2 linked regions of the Macaca fascicularis genome follow. The protein of the gene in region 1 interacts with the protein of each later gene in a pairwise test. Links are inferred from orthologs where the notes say so. Each region holds a gene or a part of one and is shown on either strand. Other genes may lie near its edges. The genes, in order: HPRT1 and ISCU.

What was found.
Region 2: the proteins of HPRT1 (region 1) and ISCU interact in binary tests that used the Homo sapiens proteins (3 or more experiments, as listed by UniProt). The two-hybrid records come from large-scale screens. The link is inferred for Macaca fascicularis from reciprocal best matches to the Homo sapiens genes HPRT1 and ISCU.

The regions. Positions count from the first base shown.
Region 1 is NC_088395.1:140,745,268-140,749,081, forward strand, and holds part of HPRT1 (hypoxanthine-guanine phosphoribosyltransferase), read left to right. Parts: intron 1-711; coding exon 712-818; intron 819-2,730; coding exon 2,731-2,914; intron 2,915-3,814. UniProt on the Homo sapiens protein: Converts guanine to guanosine monophosphate, and hypoxanthine to inosine monophosphate. Transfers the 5-phosphoribosyl group from 5-phosphoribosylpyrophosphate onto the purine.
Region 2 is NC_088385.1:115,395,138-115,399,738, reverse strand, and holds the start of ISCU (iron-sulfur cluster assembly enzyme ISCU), read right to left. Parts: upstream 3,094-4,601; 5' UTR 3,067-3,093; coding exon 2,953-3,066; intron 2,062-2,952; exon of another isoform or gene 1,431-2,061; coding exon 1,317-1,430; intron 424-1,316; coding exon 313-423; intron 1-312. Other genes in the region: SART3 (squamous cell carcinoma antigen recognized by T-cells 3), read left to right, coding at 4,499-4,601.

The sequences.
Region 1 (3,814 bases):
GCAACCTCTGCCTCCCGGGTACAAGCGATTCTCCTGCCTCAGCCTCCCAAGTAGCTGAGATTACAGGCGCCTGCCACCATGCCCGGCTAATTTTTGTATTTTTAGTAGAGACGGGGGTGTTCACCATGTTGGCCAGGCTGGTCTCAAACTCCTGACCTCAGGTGATCTGCCCGCCTCGGCCTCCCAAAGTGCTGGGATTACAGACCTGAGCCACTGTGCCCGGCCTGTTTTTTGTTTGTTTGTTTGTTTGTTTTTGAGACAGAGTCTTGCTCTGTTTCCCAGGCTGGAGTGAAGTGGTGCATTATTCTTGGCTCACTGCAACCTTCATCTCCCAGGTTCAAGTGATTCTCCTGCCTCAGCCTCCCAAGTAGCTGGTACTACAGGCATGTGTCACCACACCCGGCTAAGTTTTTTGTATTTTTAGTAAAGATGGGATTTTGCCATGTTGCCAAGGCTGGTCTCGAACTCCTGAGCTCAGGCAGTCTGCCTGCCTCAGCCTCCCAAAGTGCTGGGATTACAGGTGTGAACCAACGCGCCTGGCCTGTTGTTTTCTTATATAATTCATTATAATACCTACAAAGTTAACAGTTACTAATACCATCTTATATTCAAATTTCTCTGATAGACTAAGGTTATTTTTTAACATCTAAATCCAATCAAATGTTTGTATCCCATAATGCTCTCATTGAAACAGCTATATTTCTTTTTCAGATTAGTGATGATGAACCAGGTTATGACCTTGATTTATTCTGCATACCTAATCATTATGCTGAGGATTTGGAAAGGGTGTTTATTCCTCATGGACTAATTATGGACAGGTAAGTAAGATCTTAAAATGAGGTTTTTTACTTTTTCTTATGTTAATTTCAAATGTCAGCAACTGAGTACTTGCTATTTGAACATAAACTAGGCCAACTTATTAAATAATAGATGCTTTCTATTGTTAAAATATTCTTTATTAAAAAAAGAGAGGAGGGCCTTACTAATTACTTAGTATCAGTTGTGGTATAGTGGGACTCTGTAGGGACCAGAACAAAGTAAACATTGAAGGGAGATGGAAGAAGGAACTCTAGCCAGAGTCTTGCATTTCTCAGTTCTAAACAGGATAATGGGCTGGGGCTGAATCACATGAAGGCAAAGTCAGATTTTTATTATTATGCACATCTAGCTTGAAAATTTTCCGTTAAGTCAATTACAGTGAAAAACCTTACCTGGTATTGAATGCTTGCCTTGTATGTCTGGCTATTCTGTGTTTTTATTTTAAAATTATAATATCAAAATATTTGTGTTACAAAATATTCTAACTATGCATATATATATTTATATTTTAACATATGAGTATAGTTTTAAATGTTATTGGACACTTTTAATATCAGTGCATCTAGAGCTATCTAATATATTTTAAAGGTTGCATAGCATTCCATCTTATGGAGATACCATAACTGATTTAACCAGTTCACTATTGATAGACACTATCTTGTTCTTACAAACTGTACTAGAAGAAACATTCTTTTACATGTTTGGTATTTGTTCAGCTTTATTCAAGTGGAAATTCTGGTCAGGGGGAAAGAGTTTATTGAATATTTCGGTATTGCCAAATTATCCTCTAAGAAACTGAATCATTTTATACTCCTGATGTTATATGAGAGTGCCTTTTTCCTCACAATTTGTCTCTTTTTTTTTTTTTTTTTTTTTGAGACGGAGTCTCGCTGGAGTGCAGTGGCCGGATCTCAGCTCACTGCAAGCTCCGCCTCCCGGGTTTTTACGCCATTCTCCTGCCTCAGCCTCCCGAGTAGCCGGGACTACAGGCGCCCGCCACCTCGCCCGGCTAGTTTTTTGTATTTTTTAGTAGAGACGGGGTTTCACCGTGTTAGCCAGGATGGTCTCGAACTCCTGACCTCGTGATCCGCCCGTCTCGGCCTCCCAAAGTGCTGGGATTACAGGCTTGAGCCACCGCGCCCGGCCTTTTTTTTTTTTTTTTTTAAAGACAAGGTCTCTGTTGCCCAGGCTGGAGTGTAGCAGAATGATCACAGCTCACTGCAGTCCCAACCTCCTGGGTTCAAGCGATCCTCCCACCTCAGCCTCCTGAGTAGCTGGGACTATAGGTGTGCGCCACCACTGCCAGCTACTATTTTTATTTTGTAGAAATAGGGTTCGCCTTGTTACCCAGGCTGGTCTTGAACTCCTGGGTTCAAGTGATCTGGCCCACCTCAGCCTCCCAAAGTGCTGGGATTATAGGCGTGAGCCACTGGCCCGGTTTCTACAGTCTCTTTTAATATTGTATATTATCCAAGAAATTTCATTTAATCAGAACCTGCCAGTCTAATGGGTGAAAATTATATCTTGTTTTTATATGCATTAAAAAAAAATTATGATAGTGGTATGCTTGGTTTTTTTGAAGGTATCAAATTTTTTACCTTATGAAACATGGGGGCAAAGGATGTGTTACTTGGAAGATTTTTAAAAATTTTTAATGCATTTTTTTGAGACAAGGTCTTGCTTTGTTGTCCAGGCTAGAATGCAGTGGCACAATCACAGTTCACTCCAGCCTCAACATCCTGCAATAAAGTGATTTTCCCACCTCACCTCTCGAGTAGCTGGGACTGCAAGTACATACTACCATGCCTGGCTAATTTCCAGGCTGGTGTGGAAGTTTAGTGACTAAGAGGTGTTTGTTATAAAGTTTAACGTATGAAACTTTCTATTAAATTCCCGATTTTATTTCTGTAGGACTGAACGTCTTGCTCGAGATGTGATGAAGGAGATGGGAGGCCATCACATTGTAGCCCTCTGTGTGCTCAAGGGGGGCTATAAATTCTTTGCTGACCTGCTGGATTACATCAAAGCACTGAATAGAAATAGTGATAGATCCATTCCTATGACTGTAGATTTTATCAGACTGAAGAGCTATTGTGTGAGTATATTTAATATATGATTCTTTTTAATGGTAACAGTAGGTTTTCTTATATTTTCTTTGAATCTCTGCAAACTATACTGGCATTCATTTCACTTGGTTACAGTGAGATTTTTCTAACATATTCACTAGTAGTTTACATCAAAGCCAATACTGTCTTTTTAAAATTAGTCACCTTGGAGGATATGTACTTATTTTACAGGTATTTTTTTTTTTTTAATAAACTTCTTTTAGGAATTGCTGTTGGGACTTGGGATGCTGTTTTCACTATACATACTCACTAGTGGCAGATATCATCTCTTGAGCTACATTGGTTTGGGGGGAGTCAAAAGTCCTTTGGAGCTAGGTTTGACAAATAAGGTGGGTCAACACTTGTTTCCTAGAAAGCACATGGAGAGCTAGAGCATTGGCAAATTGAAGAAACCACTTTTTTTTTTAAACACACTTAAGAAAGGGGAGTGCAGGTATACCCGAGAGAGTATGGGTATACCAGAAACTGCTTTTGATCCACAGTCACTCTGCCTGTGTCACACAATTGAAATGCATCACAACGTTGACACTGTGGATGAAACAAAATCAGTGTGATCTTTACAAGTGAATTTCATTCATAATTTGATAGTGCAGATGTTTGATTTTTATTACTTTAGACTATTGTTTCTGATTTTATGTTGGGTTGGTATTTCCTGTGAGTTACTATTTTCCTTTAAAATAGGAATTTTTCATACTCTTCAAAGATGAGAACAAATGTCCAGCTTTTGCTGTTTCATGAATGAGTCTTGTCCATCTTTGTAGAAACTCGCCTTATGTTCACATTTTTATTGAGAGTAAGACCACTTATCTACATTTAACCTTCAACCTCATCCTCTCCATTAATCATCTATTTGAGTGACCCAAGTTTTT
Region 2 (4,601 bases), on another chromosome or scaffold:
AACCTTAGAGAAAGCCAAAGATTTCTTCTAAATTCTATTTTGTTAGAGGGACAGGTGATGATCTTTTTTGTATGTAATTAACACCCAAACAAACAAACAAAATGATCAACAAGAAAAAAACCCAAACATCATCTAGAATGATCTATAATTCCCAATTTGAAGAATTAATATAATCAACATCTGTATAGCAGAAACTTTAAAAATTCAGAATATTAAAAAAAAGTTATGGTTGTTTTTGACCCATTAGACCCGTCAAGAGACAGGCTTGGGGTGAATGCAATTTCATTCTGTCAGATTTGTGAGCAACCTTACCGTCTTTCCTTTCACCCATTCAGTGGCTAATGAGCTGGAGGCAATTGCAGAACCACAGCCAAATGTTTTAAACCTAGCATCCACAATTTTCCCCTTTTCATCCACTTGAATCTAGAAAAGAGACAAGAGTTAAGTGGTGAGTCCTAGGACCACCCTCTGGAACTTGGCACTCACGAAGGTTCATTGGGGCCTTCCCCAAGGGCTTTGGGCTTGCTTTCCATACTAAGTGATGGTATTAATTACTGATTTTGCCTTGTTTCAGAGAGCTCAGTGATGAAAAGTGAAATGCAGGGACAATTATCCAGGCCCAACTGACAAAGATCAGCTGGAAAATATGTTCCTCCACCCCAATATTATTTTGTTTTGCGACTCTGGCTTGCATTTTGGCTATGAACTTCTATTTGAGGCAGTCTGCTCACAGCTGCTGGGGCAATCTGCCTCTTAAACACTGAGAGAGTACACAATAAAGGTCTCTGGTTAATACTTTTTTCTTGGGCAGCAGATTATACTTAGTGGTTTCCTCCTGTTTTGTTTCTGTATTCCAAGATAGGTATGAAGATCTCTGGCAAGCTGCCCACTCACCATGAAGCAGCAGATTGGCGCTACAACAACAGTTTACCCAAAGCACTAGACACTATCTTCATGTTGCTCCCAATCTGGGGACAGGTTTAATTTACTGTGTTTCTTATCTCATTGGGGACTGCTAGCTCACTGGGATTTTCCTTTGATCAGTAAAATTCACAAAACTCTTTCGTTGGCTGAAGTTGGAATTTAAACTTATACAGTGAGTACAAAAATGAGATTACTTTTCTATTTCGGAAAAAGTCGGCATAGTACACTAGCCTGGCAGGAGAGCTACGATTGAGGCCCTGTTCCAATCACGTCTAACATGGACTCATCCCATCTCACAGGAATAAAGATGGAGACCGAGTGAAATGCTGTATGTGCAAGTGCTTTGTAAACTTAAAGGGATTATTGTTATCACTATTAAAGACTAGCCATACCTGTAATTTCATTACGTCACCACATGCTGGAGCCCCCACCAGTCCAGTTCCAACATTTTTAGATGTCTTGTCAAGGGACCCCACGTTTCTAGGATTTTCATAATGATCAACAACCTAAAATGAGAGGGTTAAGATAAATCGTGTTCACTCTCTATTGGTGCTGGTCTCTGGTATGGTGGCAAGCTCCTGGAAGTCAGCATCTTGAACCTGGCAGGCAATCACCAAATTTCACCTGAGTAGAAAGGTCTACACTCATGTCAGTGAGAACCATTTGTGACCCCCAATTCCTTTTGTGTCTCCTCTACAACTACTTCACAGATTAGCGACACCTAGAAGAAAAAAATATCAGTGAAATCATGTCTTAATTCCATAGGGTTTTTACAAAAATACTTGACTTTTACCCACCTACATCACCAGACTTGGGCTCAAACAGCAGTTTTGTTATTTTCAAATAAAAACTATCCTCAAAGGATGATTACTATTTAAAAATTCTAAAAATAACTATGGCCCAGGAAGGGAAAACTTTTAGAAGCCTTAAGGTGACTGTTACACAGAGAACAATGCTATGGAATGTGTACGTTTATGTGTCTTTCAAAATAAAAACAGTGCCATTACCGTATTTCAGAGCCTGTCATCACCCTGGTGCAGCAGCGCACCCTGGCTGCTGAAAGGCTGCTAGTCCAAGTTTCCTCGGGGTGTACCCTCAACGAAACACACCGCCGGGAGGGGGAGGAGTGAAGAAGCCCTTGGAGAAAGGGCAGAGGCCAGATCAGAATCAACATCCATTCGAACTGGCACACAGAAGGCCTTAATGTGGTTACTGGTTAGTAGTAAGCACCCCGATCTTCCAGTCCCCTTTTCCTCCCCATCTGACTAAGGATTTTGACTCCAAGTAAAGGCCCCTATAGGATAGTATCTAACGGAGGGACTTTTTGTGCCACGTTGATTTATGGCATTCTTTGTTTCTAGAGTGGGAGTCTCACGTCTGGGGGACTTTGCGTCACCAGACAGCAAGGGGCTGCAAACTATGCATCTATCCCTCCTTCCCCGCCAAAAAAAAACCCCCAAAACAAAACAAAAACACTACGCATGTTGGTTACAAGCCTGACTCCCCTATGCACTCCTAAAGCAGTAACAGAAACGGTCTCCTCGTGCTGGGGCCTATGTGCCAGGAACCATGACAGGACTCCATGCACAGTATCCTTTGTAAGAGACAGCTGAGAGTCCTCATTTACACCTGGGGAAACAAGTTCAGAGAGGCGCAGTGACTAGCGCAAGGTCATCTAGCCAGGGCAGCAGCGTGGCTGAAGCCGGAGCCCGCTCCGGGGGTGTGTCTGTCCCTGGACTCTAAAAGACAAGTCCCAACAGGACCCTGCCTCCTGGGCTGTTGGCGAATTTAAAGTTGGGACGCACGAAGTCGCGGCCAGCGGCGGGGCCCCCTGGAAGTCGCAGCCCGATGAGCGGTAACTGTTGTTTATCAGTTGCAGTGAGCCTCACTGCGCAGCAAGGGAAAGTGAGTCAGGGCAAAGACGTGGGAGGCGACAGCTAGTCCTGGCTGCGTAGAACCCCGCGGCCGCCGCTCCAGCCCAGGCCTCCCCCGAGTCGGCATTCCGCGTGTCCCCTCGTTTGTCCCTACCTTCTTGTGATAGAGTCGGGCCGGGGCCGATAGCTCCCGGGCGGGCAGGCGGGGGCTCCGGAGCAGCAGAGCCGACGCTGCCCGCCTCAGACGGCCAGCTCCAGCTGCCGCCATCTTGCCGGCTTGCGCCTGCGCCAGTCCAGAGCGATGCCGAGGGGCGGGGCGCGTCTGCGAGTCGGCGCCGAGCTGGGAGCGCGCCTCTCTGGCGTCACCGAGGCTTTGCGCCTGCGCCTTACCGTTCCGTGCAAGCCTCCGCCCTGTGGCCCCGCCTTGACCACGCCTCTCGGGGGCGGGCGGGGTCGGGAGCGGGAAGGTCTGAAGTCGCTAGAGGGCTTGTCCTGGGTGCTGGATTCTGGTTGAGAGAGGATCTCAGGCTTCTGCAGTGTGGGAATGCGGCGCAGAGGACCACTGAGTCCACTTTTCCTAACCCTATTTTGCAGCTAAGGAAGCTGAGATTCAGGGCAGTTTGGTCACTCCGTCCAAGGTCGCTTAGGGCTTAGGTTCAACTAGAATTCGAACTTGGGTAGTCCTGGGTTAGAATCCTGGTTCGGTTCCTTCCTGGCTGTGTGTCCCTAGACAAATGGTACCGGCTTGCTAAGTCTGAATCTTCCTTTTTGTATTAATTCGAGGACAATTCCTTCATCATGAAGCCAGCATCTGTGTTGAGTACCTACTATGTGTCAAGGCACTCTACTAGACCCGGGGATCCAACAGAAAGCAAAACAGACGTAATTCCTGCCCATTAAGCTTGCTAATGAGGGAGCAAGGTAGAGATAGAGACACACTCCAGTACTTGCCTACCTCAACAATGGGAAGCTTAAGAAGGAAACGAACACCATGTCCTGATTGAAAAAAAATGAGTATATGTCTATTTTTCTCTCTGAAACAACAGCAAATTCAATTTATATGTCGGTGCCTAGCAATTAAGAATTTCTAAAGAAATGCGTATTTACTGTTGGTTTGCAGTATGTGAGCTTATAAAACCGGAAAACTCAAGTGTATTTAACGCCTCCTAGGTACCAGATGTTTACATAAAGGGGAAGAATTTCTTTGGGAAATGGATTTTTCTCTTGAATGGTGAAATCGATCCTTCCCCGAGGACCTGCAGTTTTCTTTGCGTTTGAGGTGCAGTTGCTGGGGAGACTAAACCCAAGCGCCAGGTCACACTAGGCGATAAGTAAGGTATTTTTTCTAAGAATCACTTTGACCTTCTCAAGATGGCGCCAAATTCTTTACTACAGACACCACGCTCGCTTCATGACTTCCTCTATGGCCTCCACTTCCTGCCCAAAGACCCAACTTCTGTCCGAAGTTGTGACGGAACGTATGCCATGATAATGAGTTTTTTCTCTGGTGGGAGTTTTTACAGGGGTATAAAATAAAATGAATTTAGTGTATTTGGAGATTTTCTCGTTATCTAAGGTTCCCAGTTTCCCTTTCAGTGTCAAGAAAACGGGCTTTTGATAAGGCGCGCGCCGCGGGCAGCTTCTGCCTCAGCGGGTCTTCGGCGGCCGCGGGAAGACCCGAGAGTCATTAGAAGCGCAAGATGGCGACTGCGGCCGCAACCTCGGCTTCAGAACCCGAGGCTGAGTCCAAGGCTGGGCCCAAGGCTGACGGAGAGGAGGATGAGGTTAAGGCGGCGAGGACAA